Linked DNA regions of Caenorhabditis elegans. The protein of the gene in region 2 purifies or fractionates together with the protein of the main gene of each other region. This does not show direct contact. Each region holds a gene or a part of one and is shown on either strand. Other genes may lie near its edges.

Region 1 (4,722 bases), on a different chromosome or scaffold from region 2:
GGCATAGCTAATTATAGCTTTATACCTTGAATGAATAACACTTCTGACAAGCATCAAAGAAACTTGTGTTAAAATAGTAGCTATTCAGCCAAATGAAGTGATTGATTCTGCTAAGTAATGAAAAATGGGAATAAAAAAGTCGGTAATGATAATCTGACGGGAAGATACTGAGAACAGAGGAACTAACGAATAAATCGAGAAGAACAAATAATTCGAAGGTTAGGCATATTACTTAAAATGAAATTATAACTAAAAGACGAACTTCAAATTCAAAAGAAGCTTGCTAACTTTACTTTAGCCCGACTTTAATCAATGCTCCTGAGAAACTGGGTGTTTCGTATGCGGCTAAACAACACGCGCATACGGAATTTCGGAGTGTTGTTGCCAGAAAATTCAAATAAAATTTTTCAAACAAAAAATGCAATTGTTTGTTTAAAATACAATTTTCAGGGTATATATTACCAAGAATTTTTAAAATAAAAGTTTAAAACCAAAGAAATGCGAAAATATTTTTATTGAACATATTAATTATCAATTTTTGAGAAAATAGGCCAATAAAGAAGGTCCTTCCCGTTCTGAATGTCTTGAATTGCCATAGCAACATCATCCATGCGAGTTTTTTGCATAAAACTAGGTAAAAGTTCTGGCACGTAACGTTTTATAATCATAAGGAATACTCTTATTTGGCGATAGCGTTGGAAATGGAAAATAGAGAGTTGCGCCATAGAGGAAATCTGAAATATTGATGATAAATCAATCTGAACGGAAAACTGGAAAAAATAACCAAATATGTTTGTTGCTCAAGAGTTAACTGATGCGGGGAATATTCAAATTCTTCGTTTTCAGATTTCTGATCACGCTGAAAAAATTTAGACTTTACAAAATTTAGATTGCACCTACGTTTTCGGATAAGTCGCCTGAGCTGGAAGCAACATCGACGATAGCTCCTTCTTCAGAATCTTCTGATATTTCAGAACATTCCTCTTTAATCAAATATTCTTGTTTCAACGTTTGTGGATCAGCAGGTTCATCCTCAGAGTCTTCCATAGCTCCACTGATTTTTTGATGTGATTCTTCTAGGACAGTTGTGCTTGATACGGCTGAAGAACTCCCTTCAGGTTTCAAAACTCTAGATTCTTCAACGAAATCTTGTGCGAGTATTTTTTTCGGAAGATTATTGACTAGGAATACTGTGCAAATTAGAAATTCATCAAGTCTTTTAGAATAACGATTAATCACTGGAAAGCATTGAATAGCGTTTCGGGTTAGAAACTCTTCCGCTGAGGAAACAAAGACTCCATGGACCTAAAATTTATTTTCAAATTAACGAATTTTGAAACTAAAAGAATAACCTTTTCAGCTTCAAGCAATACTTGTCGTTCCACAGCCCTCCGACTCCGCCCGTCAACAAACTGTATAAGTTTTGAATTGCACAAGAATTGAAAAATAGTCGAGTCATCGACTTTTTGGTTAGTTGTATCGTTATAATAATCTGGCAAGTATATTACAGTTTGGCACCCGTCTAGAATGAAATTTAAAAGTATTTCAAGTAGAGATCTCGTGGAAATTATTGGAAGCGACGATGAGATCGGAATTAGCATGTCCATGAATGATAAGCCATCTGAAACGAATTATTCAAAGTTAAAAACATCTAAATATGAAAGTAACCAACCTATAAATACGGGTCTAAGCATACAATCCGTGCTTCTTTGGTTAAAAATTGGAGTATTTTCTGATCCGATTTGATAATTACATATTAATGATAAATCGTTGTTACGCAGCAATTTAAGCCGCTGATGTTCATCAAAATGGCATGAAAAGTTCTTAATTGTGAGGCGACTCGTTGATTCCAAGAAATCATCATGTTTCTGGAAGTGTAGAAGCCACAATATTTCTTGAATACTTTTCAATATTTTTTTTCGTTTTTTGCGTTTTTTTTCTTGTAACGTGGTCCCTGTGTATGAATGGAGTTTAGTTTGTCGTTGTTTTTCTATTTGTTTGAACTGCAAATCTGGAGCCGAAAAGTGCCCATCAAGCCATGGGCGAAAATTTGGAGTATCTCTGAAACTTGTCAAAGGTATTTAATTAAAAAATATATTCACTCTATATTGAAAAGGCTTACTTTGCAGGGAAAAGCATGTCGAAAATCTCGCTCGCAGTTCCAGTTTCCTGAGGATTGAAATAATACATTTCTTCAAGAAATGGACGTTGAGGTGTCTCTCCACTCACAACTCCACAGGGTTTAGCCACGAACTTGCGGTTTATCTAAAACAAAATATATCTTCAATAAACTATTGAAAACCTAAAAACAGCTTACTCGTCCTTGTTTATTTTTTCGGCCAGCTCGAAGTTCCTGGAGTCTTGCTTCAAGTTGTAGAAGTTCTGGAGGATACTCGGGCTTCGTTTCAGATATTCTGAGTTTATTTGTTTTCAAGACTTCCTTCTTCACTACCGGCTCTTCCTTTCCACTATCTGATTCAGAAATACAAATTATTCGGCGGAAATTCTGAAATAGTAATACATTTTTCTAATTAACATGATACAAACAAACCGTCGCATTCCGAATTGATGGTCGAGCAGGCGGAAATTTCAAATTACTCGATTCTTCTGATTCTGTTTCTTTTTCAATTTTTCTTTGATCATTGTTCTTTTCAGAAAATGTGCAGTCTTCTACCTCGGGAGTCGGTGGTTTTGAAGCTGGCCTGCAATTTTGATCCAGATGAAGAATAGACTTATATTTATATGTACTTCTCTGATTTTCTCACAACCTGCTCGTCCTCTGAGGTGCTTGGTGTTAATGCCACACAGAATCGGTACATCTGAGAATTATATAGAAGAAAAGTTACTTGAGAGGCGGCACAAGGATACGCTGTAAAAATTAGAAACTGTTCAAACAAAAAATGTTTTTAAAACTTTCCTACGGTAATTCTGTTGGTCTCGCAACGAAAGCTGGACTCCAGACATGCGCCTTTAATTCTCACGATGATACGGCTTTAATCAATTTTTTTTATTATTTATTATTATTTATTTTCGGTATTACATAAACATATTGAACGGAATCAGCTAGAAAATCGTAATGAAACGAATTTATATAACCACCTGTTTTAAATTATACAAGTTTTCATCAACATTGAAAGAAAAAATAAAGTGCATCCTTTTTTAAATGAAAATCTTCAGCGCTCTTCAACAAAAATGTTTCAAATCATCTCCTATGACCTAAATTTGAGACGATCGTCGGCCACGGCCGTTCTCTAAAATAATTTAAATTCAGAATTCTCACGCGATGAGACTCACTCTTCTTCTTCGCGAAACCATTTCTCAAGTCCAGAAACTCATAAAAGACGATTTGAATGTTTTGAAAATCGATAAATACTTGGTGAACATAAAAGCAGGTTCTGGAGGTTCTGGATTGTCAAGGTTATACTCTTTTGTTCACAAAAGTTCATATTTTTTGTTTCTTCAGGTACAACGGAGTCGGTGGAAATGGAGGAGACATTTACTTTGTTGCAAAACCTTCACTTGCATTCACAGATATCAAAAAACGACTTAAAAACAAAATGAAAGTAAGTTTTCTTAAGCTTTATTTATTCTATTAAAATCGAACAATTTCAGATACGATCAGAAAACGGCGAAGCAGCCACTAAAATCATGTTGATTGGACAACACGCGAAGCATCAATTTTTCGATGTTCCAGTTGGGATTGAAGTTGTTGATCGAGAGAAAAACAAGCTAATTGCACGTTGCTCCAAACCTTTCCATCGATATCTTATTGCACGCGGAGGTGAAGGTGGATACTCTAAAATCGGTTATAAGTAAGTTTTCAAATTCAAATCTCAAAAATTCAAAAATAATAATTTCCAGAGGTTCGAAAGGTGACACCTTTGACGTGGAAATTCACTTAAAACTGCGGCCGAATATTGGATTACTTGGATTCCCAAATGCTGGAAAGTCAACACTTTTGAAGGCTTTGGTTCCAGAAAAATCTGTTAAAATTGCGGATTATGCTTTTACAACAGTTAATCCGCAAGTAGCATTTTTTAAAAATAAAGAAGAATTTAGCGTTGAAGGTGATTTTCCCTTATTTTTTAAAACAATTAAGCTAAATTTCAAAGCTTTAGACCCATCGTTCACTCTCTCTATTGCCGATTTACCTGGAATTATCGAAGGTGCATCTATGAATCGAGGCAAGGGATACAAGTTTCTGAAACATTTGGAATATGCTGATATTGTTGTTATGGTTGTTGATTGTCAAGGATTTCAGTTGAAAAATGAACTTGATTGCCCTTTTAGGTAGTTTTCTTTAAACGACTTGGCACTGAAGCACGACTTTTACATTTTCAGAAACCCGCTGGAATCAATTGCTCTTTTAAATCGCGAAGTGGAACTCTATAATCAAAAATTAGCAAGAAAACCTGTAATATGTGTATTAAATAAAATTGACGCACTCGATGAAAATGAAAAAACCGTAAGAACTTGTATAATATATCATTTTCCTAATTGTTTCTTAACCTAGAATATCTCATCTCTTGCTAAATCTCTTCAATCTCAAAAATGGATCGATATGGTGCCTGAAGAGATGAGGCCGAAGATACCGATGAGATTCGAACACGTTGTGCAACTCAGTGCTAGAAGTGGAAAAATCGACGAATTTACGAATGTTCTGAAGTTAATGAGGCACCATCTTCATGCTTTGAAAGATGTACAAGATAATCCAGAAAACAC
Region 2 (7,711 bases):
ATCGCGTCCCTAATTGTCTCTCCACTGAGAAGTAAAAGTCGAGCGAGGCGTTGTCGTGCAAGAACCGTTCCAACTGATGTAACATAGATCATATCAGACTTCCGAGTTCCAGTGATTTCGCGAGGAATTATTTCTTTGACACCAGACCAATCCTGAAAGTTTTTCACTAGAAACGAAAAGTATTTTCGAACCACTTACCTTCAAAGATTGCAATATTCTACTCCTACTGATCGGATAATCATCGTTGTAGTTTCTCGAAGAGAACAATGACTCGTTAACTAGTATTGGATCCTTGCTTTCTGTAATCTGATCCACCGCATCCTCATCGTCCAAATGAAGCGCATCAAACCGTCCAGACACAGCGATGGAATGAAATGTACGATATGCAATCTGGAATATGTTTTTTGTTGATAGATCTGGAATATTAAAGATCGAGCTTACAAGATGTAAAGGCATCCATTGTGCACTTTTAGTAAGTATTGGCTCAACAATATCTTTTTCGTAGAAAACTCGAAGACTTATGCTTTCAGCTGATGCGAAAGATTGACTGAAATATTGAAAAATTTTTCCAACACTAGATTTTTAAATTTACCTTGCCAAATATCTGAGAAATTCGAGCATCATTGTTCCCATATCGAAATTTCTCAATATCGGAGCTTCATCTGCATCTTCTTTCTTCGAAATCCATTGCTGAAACATTGTTGTTGGCATCAGAAGACTTTTTTCATAATCAATAGTGGGATTTCCCAGGAGATCTCCGAGCCCTAGACGAATCAAAAGTCTTCCCAGCTGCCAAATCGACAAAACACTTGATGGGAGCACATTTTCTCGTTCAAGCCAAACTTTCAGGATGAACAACATTTTTATAATCTGATCTCCATAAAAATATACGTATCGTCTCAGGAAAAGCGCATCTTTGTGAGATTCAATCAAATCTTTCAATTTGAGAAACTTGTCAAACTGCCTTTCAATGGAGTTTTCGATCTCCTCTTCTAAACGAGCAGCAATTGGATATTTGCCTCGTAAAACTGCGTCATTTTTATCGAGCATCTGCAACAAAAAATTAATATATTTATTTCATAATTTTAACTTACTAATTGTCGCCTCAAATCACACAATGCATCCCAAGCAACCCAGGGAAGACTCTGTCCAATGCATCTTCCAGCCTTATTTATCTTTGGCTGCACATATGCCACGAAATACCATTGCCGAATCTTTTCATGCATTGCCTTCGTACATTTCAACCGAGTGTTCTTTCCATCATTCTCAATGTTGATTTCTTCTCCACCAAACTCTTCAAAGAATTTTGCACGAAATACAGCATACAATTTTTCATAACGAAGCTCAACGACCTTATCAGTGTGATAAAATGAATAGTCGTCTCTCTCCATTCCAGCTAATCTCTTGATACTTGCAGCATGTCCAGACACAACTGAAGCTTCGTCTTCAATTCCATATTCATCCAAAAGTTGTTGCATTCGATCAACGTATTCATCGCGAAGAGTCAATGTTTGTACAAGTTTTATTTCATTTCCGAAGAAAACATCAACGTCTTCTGGACAAATCAGTTTATCATATTCTCTTTCGAATACACTCCCGCGTGTTTCAAATTCTTCCAAAACTTCTTCAACTTTTCGAGCTTTTCGGTGCAATTGTCCATTTAATCGGGTACTGTAGTACATCGGTTTTCCACCTGACATCATATAATCAGGTGTCATTTCGCATTGCTCGAAACTTGACAATGGTTCCGCGGGAACTCCACTTTTCGGAAAATCTACAGCTACTGCACATTTGAGCGCGATGGCGTGACAATTTTCGCTGAAAAATAAGATATTGGCTTAACATGGATAATTTCAAGGAACATACTGGAAAAGTCCGTGAAGATCAGCATAAGCCAAATGAGCGTGACTCATTCTTCCAATTGAATCCTGTTGAAGGTATCGAAGGAAGAATTCAACCATATCATCTGTAGTAGGTTCTTTGTCTTCTTCTGCAGCTGAACTACTCGGAAAAACCATTGCTTCTTCATTATAATCGAGTAGCATTTCTTGATCCCATATTATAGAATACTCATCTCCATCCAAATCTGAACCTGCCATTTCATCGGGATGTGGTCGTGGGCCATGTTGTGGAAATACTACAACATCGACTAAATGAGCTAATGCTGGTTGCCAAACTGCGTCGAAAACTCGAACATCTCCAGGAACGTGACACGGATTTTTGGTAATCAAAACTTTGCCTGTTTTCAATATTGGACGGTTACTGGTTTGTCGGATACTTGGTGAATACTGGATGAAAACCTGTCCGTACTGTAAAAGTCCAGTCTCATCGACAACACCGTACATTGATCTTCCCAAACTTGGAGGCAAGAAAATTTTAGCTTTAGAAATGTGATGGATGATGTTGTAGCGATAAATAGAGAATAGCATATCTCGTATCAATGGATCTACACTCAATTCGAACCCGGCTCGTTTGCTTGCTGCGTTCCAGTCGATTGCCAAGTTTGTGCGATTGACTAGCTCTTCTGCTGCTTGATTTTCATTTATGAGCATATCTAAAATTAGGAGATTATGATTTGTAACCATACAGTAACTACATACTACTCAGAGAACATAGTTCTCTTTCCAAGTAATAATGAACACGATTTGTGATCCTTCTGTGAGAGCTTGCAGATTGTTTTTCCGACACTTGATCCAGGATTGTAATGAATGGACGGTTGAGACAAACTGGAGATGGCATAGCGTATTTTACTACTTCGAGGTATTCATCTTGCAGCTCTCCACCACCTTCACCAAACTTTTGCTGACTTTTTCTGAAAATTGATCATATAATTTGTTTGATAGATCATCACTACCTGAAGATAACTTTAGGCATATTTATAATATCATCGATTGTTGGATCAATAACTAGAATTCCTTTGAAACCTTTAAATCGCACTTGGAAACAAGCTGGTACTTCCTTCAATTGGAGAATCTTAGATATATGTGTTGCCAGTTTGATAGAAATTCGACCACAACCATCAGAAAAACAATATTTGTTCTCTACACCACCTTCAATGTCAGGTTCAACGATCCAGTGATGTCGTTCAAGACGTACCTGAATATTTTCGACTATATGAATATTTTTAACACTAGAATATACCGTTGGTTGTGCTTGTGTAAAGCATTGTCCCATTCGACTCATCATCTTTGGAACACTAATCGCATCTCGGAAATCTCCCATCCATACTCTAATATCTTCTACAGTTCCTGTGACTTCACCAGTTAATGCATTGACTCGAGGAGCGTATAAATAACATCCTTGATCACGCATTTGAGAATTACTCCATCCTAGAAAACTGTAGACACGATCAGCAACTTGAATTCCATTTTTGAGAGTCAAATAAATTCCTTCGGTGACAATATTCGACATGTCTGGAAACTTAGATAATATATTTAAAAATATTTAAAGAATTTCTTACGATCTATATTATTGATGGAAAAGTCGCGAATAGCGAGCCGGCCCAGATTGTCATCTCGGAACACACAACGAAGAGCATAATCAGGTCCAAATCTTCTAACAACTCGATTTACCATCATTACTTCTGGAGCCATTAGCAGTATTCGAGATGGTGTTACAATAACTTTAGCCACTGAAACACAATTCTTCGGCAATGGCTTTGCAAGGCCTACATCTTGAAGGCTTTCTCCTTTCAGAAGTCTTTCGTATTGAATCTTTCTTGATTGATACATTGTTGTGAACGCGGTAACTACATCGATTTGACGACGTTCATCAAATGCATTCAAAAGTTGTTCGAGAGTCTCTTCTGTGGCTTGAGAGCATTCTTTCATTCCCCTACGAACTAATTTCAGAAAGAGCGGCTCGTGTACTAATTCCATTGGCTTTTTCGTGTCATCAACATCATCGTCATCATCTTCATCATTGTCATTGTCTGAACTTGGAATATTTTCATCAGTTGCGTCGAAAAGTTGGTCCGTAAATACACTTCCGCGTGTGATTAGAGCCTGGAGAGCATAATTCGCTCGGAAAGATCCCAGAGAATGGAAAGCCGGGGATGGTGCAAGTTTTCGGCGAATTGAAAAAATGGAGCCGAACATCACTTTTGCTTTGCTTCGAGCAGAAAGTCTAGTAACAATATCCATCAATTGTGTAGACGATACCGAATCGTTATCATCATCTTTTCTCATTGTCAACCGGATCCAGGAGCTTTGCGAGAAAGCTTCAGAAGTACAACCGACACCTCGGCCCTCAGCATCGCCAGGCCAACTCAATACTCTTGTCTGAAAATTTACAAGTTTTTAAAAGTTATTTGCATACCATATCACCCATTCTGTGCACGTTTCCATATTGAGAACCTTCGACTTTGATGGGTGAAAAATCGTATTTTTCGGAATTCCTTCCCAGAGATGCGGTGGATTTTTCATTTGTATATAAATACTGTTCGTAGTTTCATGAGACATGTCGACAACAATTCGAACAAACAAATTATAATATAGATTAAGACGAAATCCGGCATGATCCAAACCATCATCAGCGAATTCGGCTAATCGAACTCCGAAATATACCACTGCCAGTCTTTTGTCATGCTCAAATCTCGCATACGAGAGGTATTTATTGCTTCCTGCCACTTTGAATGAACTGTTTTCACGGGATGCATCTGCATTATGGTGTGACTGAAGCTTTCTTAAAAACAAAAATCTGATTAGAAATTCTGTAGAATATGTGCAACTTACACACTACAAACTGTGTTTTCTTGACTGATGAAATCTCCTCTAACAAGGAAAAGTCCTGAATTAGGGCAGTTTCCAATCGCAATCGCAGAAATATTTATATCCATGTGTTGGGGTCTAAATTATAACTTGAGTATATAAAAAGCGGATGAGTATTCTATTACGTTATTTTTGTGAAAAGCGTATGCATTTTCGGGACTTCCAAAAATACTTGATCATGGAGCATTCCAGTTATTCTAGATGTGAAACTTGATGCGAACTCGGAGAACAATTCATTTTCATCTTCTACTTCACCGTTTGGCGTCAAAACTAAATGAGCATCGATGACGTATGATTTATCTTCGTACGCAGCTCGTGGCACCATCCCCACCTTGATCCAGTTTACCTCGTCAACTTTAGACTGAAATTAAATTGTTTCAAATACGGCCAATTAAAAAATCGCTTACCAATTTCAAGTGTGTTTTCAAAACATCTTTTATATTTTCCATGTGTGCTCGGCAATATCCAAAGCAATCATTATTCATGCTGCCAATGAGCTTAGCATCGAAATTCAGCTCAATCGCCTGTTTTTTACTAAACTGTCTCGTCTTCGCAACTGTTTCCGATTCTTCTGCAGCGGCCCATAACATCCGCACGAGTTTTTCTTGTTCTTCGATATTTACACCACCTCTGTGCTTCGTTTTCTCATAAAGAATGTGAGTTGATGGGAGAGAGTGCCGTTTTAGAACAGAACAGTCGACTGGTTTTGAAGTAGAAGGCCTTTGTGACTGTAGCAGGTAATCACGAAGATATCCACGATTCACTGGATACGAAAAATTGTTTAAATGATTTCCTGGAAAAGCCGACGATGAAGAGTGAACAGGCTGTTCTTGTACGTCAACTTCCGATTTAGATTTTGAATTTCGATCCATCCGAAACGTTGTCAATAGCATCTTGTTTGAATGCCCAATTGTTAAGGTGTTCACTGGAGTGCATTCTGTTTTTCGATTTGGTAAAGTTCCAGACGAAAAATTCGATCTACCACGTGGAAATGTTGATTGACTCTGAGGAACTCCTCTGGAAAAAAACATTGTTTCATTTGACTACCGTTTGCTCACCGAATTTCAATTACCTTGGATGCTTCGGCCTAACAGAAGTTGTAGCATCATCGCTAGAGTCATCATTATCAAACGGGAGCATTTTGTGAAAGACTTTTTGAAAATGGCATTTATTTTACGAAAAAAATGAGAAACAATTTTATTCAAAAATTTGATGATGTATGTTCGCTCCATTGACAATTAGCAACGAGACTCCGCAGTTACGGCTAAAATTTAAATTTGATCAAGCATTAAATCCTTTTTATTTTGTTTTTAAGCGCCTAGGCGCGCCTTTATGTTATTTAGTTAAAGTAGCTGTAACTACTCCGTGTAAGCTGTAAAATTATAATCTAAAAATAAGACTATAATCTCAACACTTTTTCACAACAGTTCCATTGCAATTAACGTCATTATTGAATTTCTATTTTACAATTCTTGTTGCTTAACTTAAGTTCTCTACTTACTAAACAAATATACGAAGCCTTTACAGCATGAGCGCGATCTCGCCTGATACAAAAAGTTTTGCGATTCCGACATTGGCTGATGAAGGTTCCTCAAGCAAGCCAGCATCATCTTTGTGAGTTTAATAAATAACATTTCTTTTTCAAACTACAATTTTTCAGAGATTTGCCGAAACACGAGTCTATTCGTTTCAAGCCGATTAAAACACTTGCAAGTAGAATTGATGGATCGGAGTATTATGACGAGGCGAGCATGGAGAAAGTGATGTCAGTTTGAGACCAGCATATATATTAATATGTTATATTTTTAGGGAAATGCTTGAAATCGGCAGAACCGATGAAGCTGTAGCTTACGCGGATACATTATACTCTAATATAATTGATGATGAACAGCAAGATATTGTCACCATCGCTGAATACGTAAAAATTCTCGTCGTTCTCCGTCAATGGCGGCGTATTAGCCATATTATTGCTCGTGGGAACTATCATCAGATTCACATTGTTTTTGCTTATTATGCCGCTACCGCACTTTTCCAACGGAAATTATACGAAGATGTAGCTGAATTATCGGTCGGTCATCTTCTTCCAAGTAATGGCCAAATTGGACCTCTTCCTGTTCGAACACTTTCACAAGTGACGGGGAGATATGTCGAGGAAGAAAGAATGAAGTACTCATTTGCAAATATGGCCGAATTGGATAATAGCTCTAAAAAGCTCAGAATGGTTCCAGCTCTTATGATAACCATAGCAGAAAGTTTTTTGAAATTGATGAATCGTGATGCTGCAATGATTTGTATTAATTACGCGCTGAGTCTTGTAAGTCATCTTTTATACATGATTTGACCGTGTTTTATTATTTCAGGATAATACAACTCTCCATGTCGAACGATTAATGGCAAAATACAATCTGGTTGAGCCTGCGATGTGGGAGAAGTACAGAAAAGTCAGAAATGAACAGCTGAAGTTACACGAAGGAAATCATGATCCACGAATTCTTATGGAACGTGCTCAACGTGCCTACGAGATGGGTCGATTTCGAGAAACAAAAAAAATCACTGACGAGCTATTTGATCTATTTGGACCACATCCTGAGTGCATTATTCTTCGTATTCACTGCCTAACAATGTTAAAGGATTCTCGATCTCTGCTTGAATTAGGTCATCAACTAGTTAGTGATGATCCTCATATTCCACTTCCATGGTATTGTGTTGCTATGTATTATTATAGTATTGGAGCAAACTCAAGAGCTCGAAATTTCATCAGTATGTTTCCCATTTCATTGAGGTTTAAATAGAGCTTCTTTAGGTAAATGCACGATGATGGATTCGACGTTTGCTGAAGGATGGGTGGCTTTTGGTCATATTCTTCACTATGAAGTTGAACACGAACAGTCCATGAGTTGCTATTACAGAGCGTCGAAACTTGTGGATAAAAGTTCTGAACC
Region 3 (6,733 bases), on a different chromosome or scaffold from region 2:
AGAAAATACGACGAGTCAAATTTGTAGAATTAACACGGAGAATTTTGTTTGTATTTCGTATTCAGGACTCTCGTTTTTAAAAATTGTTTGTTGAATTTTTCGGGAAAAAAACTAAAAACCGCTGTTTATCAAAAAATGTGTTTTTAGCGAAATATCTATTTTTCGTAAAAGTGAGCAAAAAAAACCGAAAAACCGAAAAAGTTCACTTGAAATTATACGACTTGAGTGCAATTTTGATTAAAATATTTCAAAATAAATCTTTCAAGTTCTTCAAAACAGCTTTTCAAACTTAAATTATTTTCTTTTTCGAAAATTTTTTTTTCGGGTTTTGGCGAAAAAAAGTTTCTCAGATTCAGCTTTGGAAACAGTTTTGTATTGGGAGAAATTAGATTTTTGTTTGTTTTTGGTCCAAAATTTAAACTAAATGTGTTCTAAAGTATTTTGTAGGAACATTTTCTGGTTAAAATATAAAGTAGGTATGAAAGTAATGGAAAAGAACATAACGGAACAGCAAAAAAAATATAAAAACTATTTCGCACTTTTTATTTCGGATGCATTGTAAAATTACACGTTTAAAATACAAAAAACATAATTTAAAATGTTTGGAAATTCGTTCAAAACATTCCATTTCGAGTTTTGTAAAAGCTTCATACTCAACGTGAAGACGATTGAAGCTTGATCAGCAAATCCGTATCGATATTTCTTTTGTTCATTTCATCAACGATATCTTCGTTGCTCAAAATTTTGCACACTTGAACGAACTGCGAATAAATGGTCTCGCTTGGCATGCACGTCAATTTTGTGCGGAACAAGTTGTTCACTTGTCGATCCGAGTCATTCTTCTCTATTTTAAAGACTTCGTCGATGTCTTGATTTTCCACTGAAAAATTATTTATTTTTGAAAAATTCAGCTGTAATTTTCTTTTATCTGCTCACTTTTCTCACCGCGTCCAATATTGACGAAGCACACGCTTTCCTCACGAACAAGATCCTCGTCAACGAAAAGATCATCATCTTCAAGAAGTTTGAACGTCGCATTCATTAGAATCTTCTTTTTCGGAATTGGACGATCTTCTGTGCACAACATCAGTTTTCCGATCCATTTTGGTGCACCAATTGGCTCCATGAGACCAACATTTTTTGTAAGAAGACATTCATCGCTGCAAATCACTTTAAATTCCACCTCCCCCTTGGAATTAGATGTAAAGTACTGTGGACAATCGAACAATTCGACGACTTTTCCATCTTTATCGAGAATCACTTCATAGAGGTGGCGAGATTCCATTTTTTCAACATTTCTGAAATTAGATATAAAATTTAAAAAAATTATATTATCCAGGCGCAAAATGTCACGATTTTTTAGCCAAAAACACGGCGCAAAAAGGTATGCGGCTTTAAAGAGTACTGTAATTTCAAAATTTCGTTGCTGCGCAATTTTAATCGATTTTTCGTCGTTTTCCTCGCGATTTGTTGAAATTTATGTTTTCAATTTTTTTTCTGAAAAAAGCGTGTTGAGACCGTATATTTTAGCAAAAAAATCGGAATTTTTCTGGACAAAAATTTCTAGTCAAACTCTCACTTGAAGACATTTTTATCCGTTATATTCTTCTTCATATCGCTCATCTTTTGTCCTTCAATTCGAGGGAAAACCACCATTCTAATGAAGTCTCCGTCATGACAAGTGACCCATCCAAAGCGTTTCCCATCGTCTTTATTATCAGTTTCCGCCGAAGCTCTTCCATTGCTCAACTGATTCCTTGCATGAGTCATTTTTCCATCCTGGACTGTGTCGAAAAGTTCACAAACTGTTACAAATAATGACAAACACTTTAGCTTGATCAATTTACGAATTCCTGGAGCATTCCATGCTTGGTGGAATTCAGTGAGAAGTTGGATGTGTTTCTGTAATTTAGTAATTCGTTATGAAATTTTTTTAGAATTACAGTAACCCTACCGACTGAAACACTTTCGAAACAATCCAACACCATTCATTTCGCTCCACGATATTCCACATTTTGATGCTAATTTTCACTCCTCTTGAGCAATCTTCTGGAAGTTTATTGAATTTGTCTACCTGAAAAATATAAGATCATTAATATTATTGATGTTCACACAAACAATTTTTCCAATGAAACTATGATATGTCTCGGGATTCAGACGTTCTCCAGACTGTGGAAAGTATGTCTCAACAATTAGTTGCAGCTCAATCGAATCATTCGATACAATTCCGTCCATGAGTTTTCCAAGTGGTTTCACGTATTTCTTACATTCCCATTTGTCACCATTAGATGCAAAAAGACCATTGAAGAAGTGGCCTGGCTCAATGCCATCATTCTTAGAGACATAATAGACTGATTGCCTGAAAAATTAGATGATTTTATTTTTTTTAGATACTAATATTAGAAGGCTTACTTGTGATCATCGAGAAGCCACAAAAACGCAATCTTTTCCTTTCCATACAAATGTTTTCCGTTATTCGGTTTCAACGAGGTGATCACAGCTCTTTTCAGAACCTGAAATAATAATCATTCTGTAATTTTTTCTATCATAAATTTGCTAAAGTTAATTAAGACTGCTGTTTCTTGTTGAATTTTTGGTGTTTTTTGTTAAAAAAAAAAAATATTTTTCTAAATTCTTTGTTTTCTCGTGTTTTTGTTTCATTTTTTTTCAGAAAAAGTGAGCGAAAATGTGGGTCAATACACGTTGATACCCAACAGAAAAGTAACCTGTCACTAACTAGAAAAGACGTAAATTTTTAGATTTCACTTTTTTCCTTAAAAAAACAACACTCGAAATTATAACTAGAGTATATACCAAAATATTGAAACTTTTTTCAAAATACAGTATCAAACTTTCAAAGTGTTTTTTTCGTTTTTGTTCTTGAAAAAAAATTATATATTTTTTGGTTCAAATCTCAAATAAATTTCTTTTGTTAACAAACGTTGGTCTTTTTTTGTGAAAATTCTGGTGAGAAACACCTAAAAATGACACAATAAACGAATTCTACAGCTTCAGTTTTTATAAAATTCACATTCTCCCAAAACGTACAAGTGGATTCTCCGTAGAAATCAATGGTTTGAATCCTTTTTTATGAATCACCGGTTCAGAATTATTCGTTGGAACTGGCTGACGATTCATCATTTGTGGAGGAATTGCCATATTTGACATATACGGCATTGAATACATAAGTGGATTGGGAATTGCTCCAAAATGTCCAATTGGTCTCATTGGATGCATGATTCCTGGTGGTCCCATTTGCCAGTTCATTGGAGAAGGTTCAGGTAGATGTGAATAGTTGATTTTTGGTACATTGGATGAATATTCCTTTTTTTCGCTTGAATTATTAATTTTTTCTTCTGACTTCTTATTTTCTACATTTTTCTTTGGTTTTGATGGACGAGAATCCTGAAAGAAAGACTAAAAAATTGTTGGAAAATATCTCCATTACAAACCGTAGATGAACTATTTTCATTCTCCGAATCCCCCGAATCCTCCGAATCTTTTTCAGATTTTATGACATTTTTGAAAAACCAAGTCGCTTGTTTTCCGTCACCGGCTTGGAACAATTTTCGGTGCTTGATCAATACATCGACTTTAGATTCACTGGTAACAATTTTTTTGCTAATTGCAATAGTTCCCAGGAATCTATCCTCGACAGATTGTCCTTGAACGTGTCCAGCCGGAAATTGAAAGTTTCTGATTTTCACTTGTGGTCCGTTGCCGGCCCATGTTACAGAGTAATTTTCGATTTTTTCAATTTTTTCGAAATGTTTCACATTGAATCTCGGTGTATCTGCAGTTGGATTTGATGGAAAGTATTTTACGAAATCTTTTTTCGTAAACCGAATTTCAACCCAATCACCAATTTGTAGTTGACTCTTTTCGATTATTCCGTCGGTTCCTGGATATGTGAGGTTGCAAGTAACGAAAACTGCGTTATTTCGTTGATTTTTTCCAGTAACAACTCCGATAATATATTTTGTGTATTCTTCTTTCGATTTTGCTTCAGATTTTTTTGCATTCGATTTATTCTCTTTTCTTTCAGTTAGAACACCCGCCGTTTTGGAGATCACTTCTATTTTTCCATCCGATAATCCTTGCCAAACGAACTTCGAGTATAGACCGATACGTTGTTCCTCTGGCAATCTGAATAAAAAAATCAAAAGTATATTAAAGTACGACACAATACTATCAAGATGCGAGATATTCATCAAAAATACGGCTAATGGTCCCGACAGGACAAATTTCTGTTAAATGCGAAAAGTTGTGCGCCTTTAAAAAGTACTGTAGTTTCGAACTTTCGCCGCTGCAAAACTTTTGCCGATTTTTCGATAAAAAATATAAGAAATCCGAGAGAAAAACCTTGAAAAATCGATGAAAATTTCAACGCTTGGATCCTACAGTACTTTTTAAAGGCGCACACCTTTCGAATTTAGAAAAAACTTTTTCGTGTCAAGACCGGGAACTGTATTTTTTGACGCAAAAAATCGAAAAATCTCACATCTGAGTGATACAAAAATCTTACCTAGACACAATAATATTATGGTTTGTTCCAGCCTCTCCTGGAGCCTGGCCTTTACAAGCAACATCTCCAAATTCTTTCGTTTTATAAAATGGAGCAAGTCCACTAGTTAGAACTCCTGTGTCACCGGATACCTGAATAAATAATTAATAAAAACAAATATTTAAGAAAATTAAGCTTTTACTAACCTCAACAGTATCTGTTCTCACTTCAGTTTTTAAAGACCTGAACGCATCTTCCACTTTTGAATAAGAAATCGGAATATTATTCTCAACATTGATTTGGCAAAAGTCTCCCAGAAAGATCATGTGGATGTTCAGAATATCTTCGTTAACATCGAACTCGATTCCATCTGTTGGACTGAAAGTTGAAAATATTTATTAAACCTAATTCGAGAAAATATTATTTTATTTAGAAAAAATAGCAAACTCACGAGACTACGGCGACTTTCCCATTTGATTTTCGTTGTGCGGCTAATCCGAGCATTATTTATGACTAAAATATATTAACGGTCAATGTTTCAAGACGGGAAACTTTGTAATAGAAAACAGGACATCTGGGGGCGTTTTTTAATCAATCGGCAATTAAATAAAGTGAAAAATGTTTTGCTTCACTAAACAAAATTCTTTCTGGCCTCTCAATGCTCTCAAGAAGATACAACTTTCCGGTGGAAACGGATGGTACATATGAACAGAGATACAAAGTTTAATAAGAAACTGGGAAACTTTTATAAAATACAACAAATACGGGGCGCGATTAATGCGCAAGTTGGACAGAAACCGTGAAAAACTCGGCACCCGGCAAGTTATAAAGAACACGTTTTCAGGTAGGGAGATCTGTCTCAATATGATTAAATAACATGCAAAACAGAAGAAAAAGTTAGTAGTCATCATAATTATTCATCTGAAGGTGGCGTGAGACTTTTCAGCGGAGGAGACGTCGATGATTTTTCAGAACCGGAGGATCCTTTTTTCGAGTCTGAAATTAATTTTTTGTTTATTTATAGTAGCTAATATAGATAATTGTTTACCAGTTGATAAAGCTGCTGAACTCGAAAATTGCTTTGAGGCTATGAACGATCTGTTGAAAGCATTGTGAGGATTGTAGTATTCCGTTATAATAAACGGATTGCTCTGAGCAGAATCAATAATCCATTGATATTTGTGAGTCTATAATAATATTAATATAAAACTTTATTATCTTTATAAAAAAAATTCAACTTACCGGGCTTTCCGTTTGCGTCACTTGAATTTTCTTTCGAAGAATAACCACACAATATATGGCTCCTGGCTGTAATAATTAATTTTATGTTTCGAACGAAACGACTTTATCTTACAATGGGATTTTTGATAATTCCATCAGCATCGAAAATTATCGGAAAGTTTTTGGAAGTGTATGTGTTTCTGTTTAACATGTCCTTTGATTTGTAAGACACTTGTTCCTCTATCTGAAAATGAACCGAATTAAAGTTATCATAATTTCTGAAAACATACAAACAACTGAAACAGATCGATGCGACAATTGAATGGTGAAAGTTTCTTTGTTCCAGATATCCATTTCCATCGAAATTGCAGATGAGCCGTTTCCTCTTTCTTCTGGATCAGCTTCACATACGCATAGTCACCAACATTCAACTCAAAATCATCGAAAATGAAGTGAACTGAATATATTCAATGTGTTCAAATAATTTTTTTTCTGAAAAGTTATACCACTGGAGTTATAATTATCAAAGAACCATAAGATTCCGGTTTTCGCATGAGCCATAATCTTTTCGACGAGCGCATGACCTTCCTGAAAAAAGCAAAAAATTAATTTCGAAAAAAAATATAGGCCTAGAGCGAACCAATGATTCTCCGGTATATGACGAGAATTTCTTCGGTTTCGGTTGGTACTTCCGAAGTTGTGTGGAATTATATGCTGTTTGAATTTGAATGTTGTTTCCCATGTAATAATCTCGACGCTGCTCCTGATAATGGGGATTTTGATGGGGCTGTTGATACTTCAATGTAGTCACTCCAGTATTGTTTGTAATAGTTCCTGAATTAGAGGCTGTAAATGAGACATCATTATTGGAAATAAGCCATGGAATCTTAACTAGGTCTTGAATAACATTGCTTCTAATTCATGTGATGAATCGAATTTCACATGAAATCTGTCAAATTTACTTACGCTTTTCTATAGGAATGATGTGAGAAGTCTCCATGGCGTCTC
Region 4 (7,687 bases), on a different chromosome or scaffold from region 2:
TTTAGAAATGCCGTTAAATAATTCCAATAACTGAGTTTATTTTCCAGATGTAATCTTCGTGCAATACTTGTAACATATCACAAATGCATTCATCATCGTGATGAGTTCAACAGTTTTATTCAAAAATTTTGAAAATGCTCAAGTGACGAACTTTTTTTCTTTTTTTTTTTGTTAAGATTATTTCATTTCCCTTTAAAATTTTCTCTATAGAGCTATAGTATCGTTGTTCGTGTTTTCTAATAAACGCTTTAAAGTTTTGTTCTATAGGTTTTTATTGTTATCCAATATTGGTTTTAACCAGAAATATGCACTACATGTTATGACACTTTTCATATTAGTATTACTTTTTATTGTTTAACACGTTAACTTTACCGAGGTTTTGCAGCCCTACCCGTGTCCTATTTTATGCTGATATTCATCTTCCAGATGGGCAACAAAAAAAATAAATCAAGTGGGTCCCGAAAGAATCATTCTCAGCATTATTCTCAGCCAACAATGACCGTAGAGGAGTGCTTGAAGGAGTACGAGAACACAGGAAATTTCGCCAAGTTCTACCCGAATTACATTTTCCAACGGTTGCCAAAAGAGTTCCTCCAAAAATACTTAGCCTCTAAAAGTTCGTTTTACAAGAAAAGTTGACAAGTTTAACAACCTTCGCAATTTCAGAAAATAAAAATATTTCTAAAAATCCATCACTAAGTTGTTCAAACTCTACATTGGACAATATGAAAGAGACGTCGAAAAGTATCTATGTGGACGTGGATCCAGATGATCCTCTCTCCGATGAAGCATTCACTGCTCAACATCCTGTGGAAGAATGGTTTCGACTTCCTCTCGAATGGCGCATTGAGATCGAAAGGCAGCGTTTTGTGAAAAAAGGTATTTTATTCATGGCTAGAAAATTAATCCTACAAAAAACCGCTTAAAACTCGATTTTTGAGTAAAGAAAGAATTTAACAATTTTTCATATGGATAATTTATTAAATATCGAAAAAAAGCATTTCTCTTATTTTCTTTCAGAACGCGCCGACCGTGCTGCTGAAGCTGCCAGGAACTCCGCTGAACTTCTAAAGCCAGACGCTTAAAAGTGCATCAACGATTCGTTTTAACGTTGTAAAATGTTATTTTCGATGTTTTCTTTTCATCCAGTTATTCGTATTAATTTGCCATTCATCAGCTGAAATTCATCCCAACAACCTGCCGAAAGAATTTTATTTTCTGTTCTATCTTTCAAATTTCCTTTTCTTTTCTTCATTTTCTGTTGGCAGCTGCTCGTATTTCCATCACCGGTTCCCGTGAATTTGCAGTTTTAATGAAAGTTTTATTCTTGTTTTAAATATTATGATTTTATTTTCTCACAAGGTTGAAGAGCCAAAACATTTATTTATGTTGTAGAATTTAAATACTAATTTTATTGATTCCGCCGTTGCTCATCGTTAAATATTGAATACTGAAACCAAAACTTCCCTTCCTGACACTACTTGCCCTTCTTTAACACTAATAATGGTTTTCTGTTCATTCATGTATTTCCCTCTTAACTTTTTATCATTGGCAAGAGGAAGAGAAAATCATTAATGTGAAAACCTCTGCCACACTTGTTTATATTTTGTGCGCCAGTTTGAACAACATGTCTTTTTGTCGTTTTGTCGGCAAAATTTAATTTAATAATTTCCTACAGATATTTTCGATAATGCAACCAACTGCAATACGTTTAGAAGATTACGACAAATCGAAGCTTCGCCTTCCGTTTGAGTCTCCATATTTTCCAGCGTATTTTCGTCTTCTCAAGTAAGAAAATTATACATTTCCCCCCTTGCACTCGATCAAATAATTAAATATTATTTTAGATGGAAATTCCTTGATGTATGCGTGGAGAGTACACGAAACAACGATATCGGATATTTCAAACTATTTGAATCGCTGTTCCCGCCAGGAAAATTGGAAGAAATTGCCAGAATGATCATTGACGAGCCAACTCCAGTTTCTCATGACCCGGACATGATTAAAATCAGAAATGCCGAGTAAGACGACAGAGAAATCATGTATTAGAAAAACGTTCCAACGAAAACAATTTCTTCGGTGTTATCTATATCTGTGACGGCAAGGATGTCGAAACGGAGTTTTGAAAACATAAAATTGTTTTAATGACTTAAATTTTTATAAAAAGTTTAAATATCGTGAGTTTTCGAGTCACAGAAGCTTAAAAGGTCAAAAAAAAGTATTATGGTGTCTGGAATTTTCGTGCCATATTTTTTTTAAATACCAATTTTTCAGTCTCGACGTTAAAATCAGAAAACAGGCAGAAACATACGTTACATTGCGTCACGCACATCAGCAGAAAGTTCAAAGGGTAAAAACACTTTTGAAAAACATTTAATAAAATAATTTTTATTTCAGAGAAGATTCTCGGAATGTTTTTTGAACACTGTTTTGTTCGATGAGAAGGGACTCAGAATTGCTGACGAAGTGATGTTTAACTGTAAGTAATCGTGAAATTTCAAACGTTTTGAACTGTAAAATTCAGACGATAAAGAACTTTATGGATACTCACACTGGGAAGATCTTCCTGATGGCTGGTTAACTGCTGAGACTTTCAAAAATAAATTCTACGATGAAGAGGAAGTTACCAATAATCCATTTGGATATCAGAAGCTTGATAGAGTGGCTGGAGCTGCACGTGGAATGATTATTATGAAGCATCTGAAATCGAATCCACGTTGTGTTAGTGAAACTACAATTCTCGCTTTTGAAGTATTTAACAAAGGTAATCATCAACTATCAACTGATTTGGTCGAAGATTTGCTAACCGAAGGACCAGCGTTCGAGCTGAAAATCGAGAATGGAGAAGAGAAAAAATATGCTGTGAAGAAATGGAGTCTTCATAAGACTCTCACCATGTTTCTCGCAATCATCGGATTCAAATCGAATGACAAAAAAGAGAAAAATGAACACGAAGAGTGGTATTACGGATTTATTGATGCAATGAAGAATGATCCAGCTAATCGAGCGGCTCTCTACTTTTTGGATAAGAACTGGCCAGAAGAGCTTGGTAAGTTTTTTTTTGTTTGGAAATTAAATAGCGGCAAACATTTTGTACTTCAGATTTCAAAATACTGAAATTATTTTAATACAATTTTAAATAATGCCTAACTTTTTATTATTCGGCCATCTCATGCTATTTGATGTATTTTACGAATTTCGATTTACAATCTAGGCTTAACTAAATCAATTTTCAGAAGAACGAGAGAAAGAACGTGACCGTATCCGCCTTACCCTACTGAAAAGTCAGCGGACTAACGAGGAAGCTGTCGGCGAGGATGTTTGCACGACAATACGTCCACAACCGAAAGACAGCGGCTACAGTAAGATTATATTTCCAACATTTAGTGCAAATTTTCCTTTTTCCAGATCCAGATGCGGTGGTTACTGAACTTGTATTGCGTACTTATCAAGAAGAACTTGTCCAACCGGCTCTCGAAGGAAAGAATTGTGTTATTGTTGCTCCGACTGGTTCTGGTAAAACAGAAGTGGCAATTTATGCGGCTCTCAAACATATTGAAGAACGAACATCCCAAGGAAAGCCTTCCAGAGTATGTTTTTTTTTTAATTTTCTCGTCAAGTTCTAATATTATTTCCCCTTGATATAGAAGCAATAAAATTTTATTTTCCAGGTTGTGCTCCTTGTGCCGAAAATCCCGCTTGTCGGTCAACAAAAAGACAGATTCCTGAAGTATTGTAACGGAATGTACGAAGTTAATGGTTTTCATGGATCCGAGAGCAGTGTCAGTGGAACAGGACGTCGTGATGAAGTAATTGCTACTCATGTATCAGTTATGACTCCTCAAATTCTGATGTGAGTTAATGGAATCAGGTTCATTAAATTCTGAATCGAAAATTTCTGATATAACTCATTAATTTTTTATTTTACTTTTTTTTTTCAAAAAAAATTATAAATTATAAAAAGAGTGCAATTTTAATCAAGATATATAAAATGTTTAATTTTTTCGGATCGAGCTCTGGTTTTTATAATACCCGAACTAATTATTTCAGCAACATGCTTCAATCGGTACGTCAAAATGAGCGTTTGTATGTGAGTGATTTCTCAATGATGATCTTCGATGAAGTACATAAAGCTGCAAAAAATCATCCATATGTGTTGATTAATCAAATGGTTCAAGAATGGAAGTATGAAAAACCACAAATCATTGGTCTGACAGCTTCATTGAGTGTCAAAGTTGATGGACAAAAAGACGAGAATCAGATGCTTAATGATATTTATAATATGCTCGCATTGATCAACGCTCCACATTTGAGTACAATCACTCGCCAATCGAGCATAGATGAGCTCAATGAGCATGTTGGAAAACCAGATGATTGTAAGTTTGTTCTCAAGTTGGAAATTTAGTTTTTTTTTTCTTAAAAACCATAAATAAATTTTAAAATACAAATAAGATAAATTTCTAGGTGTATCAAATTATAAAAATATTTATTTTCAAGTTTACACAGTTCAAAAAAATTTGAAAATTGTAAATTGTTCTTGTAAAATGAAAAATGGTTTCTAAATGAAGTGTTGTAAACAGGAATTGAAAAAAAAAACCTTCGGAAGCTGAAAACCCACTTTAGAATCAAAACCACGGTATTGAAATTTCCTTTGTTTTCCCTTATTTCTCATGGTATTGTTTAACTTCAAGCTAATCCGGCAATTTCAAAGTAAATTCCTCATTTACTCTATTCCAAAAATAACCAATTACTTGTTTTCTCTTCGGAATATGAAATTTCATGAGAGAATTATTTCAAAAAAATTCTTCTCAGCTGTCGAACTATGCTTGCCTGCCAAAGAAAATATCCTTCGAGATTACATCGAACGATACCTTAACCACGCCCATGGCAAATTTCTCGAAGAATTAGCAAGCATGTCTAAATCAACTGGCCGCAACAACACTATCCCACCGAATATGATTAACACGTTTAAAAAGAATCAACCGAAGAATTATGAGTACTACGATTCATTACTTCAAGGTATTATTCAAGAGTTGAACAAATTGAATGTTCCTGAGAAATGGAATTCTCAAACTTGGGCGAAATACATGAAGGTTTGATTCATTTTCAAAGATTCTTGTAAATGAAATGATTTAGGTATATCTCGAAGCTCGCGGAATCGTTGATCTGATGCCTGCGATGGTTGCATTCAAATACATGGAAAAAGCTATTGGGAAATTGAATGAAAGTCATTCAGAGACAGTCGAATACAGCACCTTCATCAAAGACCATGATACTTTGAAACAAACAATTCAATCCGTTGAACCAGAAATTGTTCTACGTCTCAAGAATACACTCACCAATCAGTTCCACGTGGCTCCTGAATCTCGAGTTATTATTTTCGTAACACAAAGAAGCACCGCTCAACGTGTCAGTGATTTCTTGAACGAATCTAAAGTTTTAGATCAATTTGGTAATTATGGTGAACAAATGGTTGGATATGTTCTCGGAACAAACAAACAGGGCGCTGTACAGCAGACTTCACAAGAACAACAATTGACACTTGATAAATTCAACAATGGAAGACTTAAAGTAATTGTGGCAACGTCAGTTGTTGAAGAAGGTCTCGATGTTACTGCATGTAATCTTATTATCAAGTACAACTGTTCATCAGGATCAGCCATTCAACTTGTTCAACAAAGAGGTCGTGCACGTGCCAAAAACTCTCGTTCTGTGCTTTTATCAGTGAAGAGTAGTATCAATGAAACCGAGACTAACGCGTTAATCTCTGAAAAGTATATGAGACTTTGTGTGAAGAAGATCACAGAGAATGGCGAGAAACAATTGGCTGCAGAAGTGAAACGAGTCGCTGAACTAAATGCGGCTGAAAGGAAACGAAATCTGGAAGAGCAACTCAATTTGAGATTACGACATGAGAATAAGATTTATAAATTGATGTGCAGCAATTGTTCAAAAGAGTTCTGCAAGAGTATTTATATCAAAAAAGTGTTCTCGAATTACATGGTGTTCGATCCAAGTGTATGGAGATTTTTGCATGTTGAATCGGTACGTTTGATGAATGCTCAAAAACCGGAGCCGGCTTGTCGAAAATATAATTTTAATGAATTTTGTAAGATTATACTCGTAGACCAGGGCTGTAAAACCATTTTCCCAAAAAACCGAAACCTAAAATTTCTCAAAAAAAAAGACAATTAAAAAAATTTCTGTCACTAAAAAATCGTTTTAAAGTAAAAAAATCGCTTTATTCATCTGAAATTAACTTATTCAGGTTGAAACATTTATAAAGTGCTTAAAAATTACCTGGAAGTGTCGAATTGCCGATTATCAAATTGCTGAATTTCCGAACTTTGCTTTCCGACAATTGACTTTCAGGCTATTTTTGTGCAATTTCCAGATGTTTCAAGTAAATGTTTTTTTCAGCTAAGCCGACTTCTGTTTATCATAGAAACGCAATTTGTGATTGTGAAAAATTGAATTTTTTCAGAAGCGAAAGGTGAGTAAGTACTTGAGTGAGGACAATCAACCACTCAGTGATATCAAATGCTTCCATTGCAAGTTGGATGTTGGAAGAGCTTACAAAATAAGGTAATTGAAATTTAATTTATTTAAAAGTCGTTTCTTATAAAACAACATTTCTACAGAGGAACCTATTTGCCGCAACTCAGTGTCAAGGCGTTGACATTTGTTCAAGAATCAGACTATTCCTCGATGACAAAAGCAAAATGGTCGGATGTGGAACAGGATCTGTTTTATATTTCAGAAGCAATCGAGGATGACTTTGTAAGATTTTGGTCACTTGATTATTTAAAAATTGTACGAATTTACAGAGAATCATGTTGAATGCGCTCTCCGATACTGAAGAAAATATCGAAAAGAAGATTGTTCTTGATTTGGACTCACGACAACACAATAAGCAACTCGAGATGAAGAGATTGTAAGTGTGCTCTGGATTGTGATTCCTTTTCTGTTTAACACTTTCGAAGCTCAAAAAATACGGATAAACTCTCTATTATCATAATAATGCTTTCATTTTCAGCCATATTCAACAAGAACCACCAACGAAGGGAGTTGCACCAGAAGCTCAATGATCATCTCAAGGATTTCCAACTTGTACGAGAATTCAATTTTTCTTAATCTTTTTTGTTATTTTAATATCATTCATCGTGTTCTATTTACCGAGCAATTTTCATTCGATCTCTTGAATAATATAAAGCTCTATTTAGTTTTATTTTTTTAATTGATCTTTCAATTTTTCTTCCAACAATTTGACTGTAAATTAACAAATGACAAAAAATGGAATGATTTATTAATTTAAATCAATTTCTAGAACATCTATTCCTAATCATCTTGTCCTTTAAGATTGTAAACCGTAATTGCCTCTTCTAGCAGCTTAACACAAGCAGTATGATTAAAATGTTTAGCATCATCCAATGGAGTTCTATCATATCTATCACATGGATTCGGATCCTCTTGCCATTTACTCAATACGTATTCCAATGTGACAACGTCTCCTTCAGCAGCAGCCACGTGTAAAACTGTTCGATCATCATAATCTTTGCAATGAATATCATGTCCCATCAAAAGGAATCGTTTAATTGCAGCAATATCACCCAATTTTGTAGCATACATGAAACGATTCTGACCGTCATGATCATCTTTCAATTGACGACGAGGATCGATTTTCTTA

The links.
Region 1: the proteins of rrf-3 (region 2) and eri-9 purify together in Caenorhabditis elegans (affinity purification with mass spectrometry, with the first as the bait; one study listed by BioGRID). This does not show direct contact.
Region 3: the proteins of rrf-3 (region 2) and B0001.2 purify together in Caenorhabditis elegans (affinity purification with mass spectrometry, with the first as the bait; one study listed by BioGRID). This does not show direct contact.
Region 4: the proteins of rrf-3 (region 2) and drh-3 purify together in Caenorhabditis elegans (affinity purification with mass spectrometry, with the first as the bait; one study listed by BioGRID). This does not show direct contact.

What each region holds. Positions count from the first base shown.
Region 1 is NC_003281.10:4,930,721-4,935,442, reverse strand, and holds eri-9 (Zc3h12a-like Ribonuclease NYN domain-containing protein), read right to left. Parts: upstream 2,965-4,722; coding exon 2,922-2,964; intron 2,896-2,921; exon of another isoform or gene 2,870-2,895; coding exon 2,749-2,869; intron 2,703-2,748; coding exon 2,552-2,702; intron 2,507-2,551; coding exon 2,318-2,506; intron 2,266-2,317; coding exon 2,123-2,265; intron 2,068-2,122; coding exon 1,673-2,067; intron 1,622-1,672; coding exon 1,353-1,621; intron 1,306-1,352; coding exon 901-1,305; intron 860-900; coding exon 785-859; intron 735-784; coding exon 525-734; downstream 1-524. Other genes in the region: C26E6.12 (OBG-type G domain-containing protein), read left to right, coding at 3,284-3,417, 3,464-3,563, 3,613-3,812, 3,862-4,067, 4,119-4,290, 4,342-4,465, 4,514-4,722.
Region 2 is NC_003280.10:8,160,756-8,168,466, reverse strand, and holds the start of rrf-3 (RNA-directed RNA polymerase), read right to left. Parts: upstream 6,003-7,711; 5' UTR 5,910-6,002; coding exon 5,842-5,909; intron 5,787-5,841; coding exon 5,177-5,786; intron 5,131-5,176; coding exon 4,895-5,130; intron 4,848-4,894; coding exon 4,734-4,847; intron 4,684-4,733; coding exon 4,326-4,683; intron 4,281-4,325; coding exon 3,461-4,280; intron 3,414-3,460; coding exon 3,142-3,413; intron 3,097-3,141; coding exon 2,855-3,096; intron 2,813-2,854; coding exon 2,601-2,812; intron 2,555-2,600; coding exon 1,867-2,554; intron 1,819-1,866; coding exon 1,095-1,818; intron 1,051-1,094; coding exon 593-1,050; intron 548-592; coding exon 442-547; intron 391-441; coding exon 199-390; intron 153-198; coding exon 1-152. Other genes in the region: emb-27 (Cell division cycle protein 16 homolog), read left to right, coding at 6,298-6,383, 6,430-6,534, 6,579-7,083, 7,130-7,529, 7,573-7,711.
Region 3 is NC_003282.8:12,145,957-12,152,689, forward strand, and holds B0001.2 (uncharacterized protein), read right to left. Parts: upstream 5,022-6,733; 5' UTR 5,009-5,021; coding exon 4,956-5,008; intron 4,883-4,955; coding exon 4,711-4,882; intron 4,657-4,710; coding exon 4,526-4,656; intron 4,147-4,525; coding exon 3,453-4,146; intron 3,406-3,452; coding exon 3,049-3,405; intron 2,514-3,048; coding exon 2,413-2,513; intron 2,360-2,412; coding exon 2,119-2,359; intron 2,075-2,118; coding exon 1,955-2,074; intron 1,903-1,954; coding exon 1,580-1,902; intron 1,299-1,579; coding exon 937-1,298; intron 881-936; coding exon 654-880; 3' UTR 525-653; downstream 1-524. Other genes in the region: B0001.7 (Movement protein), read right to left, coding at 5,418-5,500, 5,553-5,691, 5,747-5,812, 5,859-5,969, 6,016-6,182, 6,232-6,313, 6,366-6,571, 6,692-6,733.
Region 4 is NC_003279.8:7,819,153-7,826,839, forward strand, and holds drh-3 (Helicase ATP-binding domain-containing protein), read left to right. Parts: upstream 1-1,678; 5' UTR 1,679-1,690; coding exon 1,691-1,788; intron 1,789-1,847; coding exon 1,848-2,021; intron 2,022-2,274; coding exon 2,275-2,350; intron 2,351-2,397; coding exon 2,398-2,479; intron 2,480-2,524; coding exon 2,525-3,049; intron 3,050-3,236; coding exon 3,237-3,362; intron 3,363-3,408; coding exon 3,409-3,590; intron 3,591-3,671; coding exon 3,672-3,853; intron 3,854-4,050; coding exon 4,051-4,376; intron 4,377-4,812; coding exon 4,813-5,093; intron 5,094-5,136; coding exon 5,137-6,045; intron 6,046-6,484; coding exon 6,485-6,585; intron 6,586-6,641; coding exon 6,642-6,780; intron 6,781-6,827; coding exon 6,828-6,934; intron 6,935-7,036; coding exon 7,037-7,088; 3' UTR 7,089-7,226; downstream 7,227-7,687. Other genes in the region: D2005.4 (TPR_REGION domain-containing protein), read left to right, coding at 48-53; D2005.7 (NAM-associated domain-containing protein), read left to right, coding at 427-616, 667-879, 1,021-1,085; glna-3 (Putative glutaminase 3), read right to left, coding at 7,339-7,687.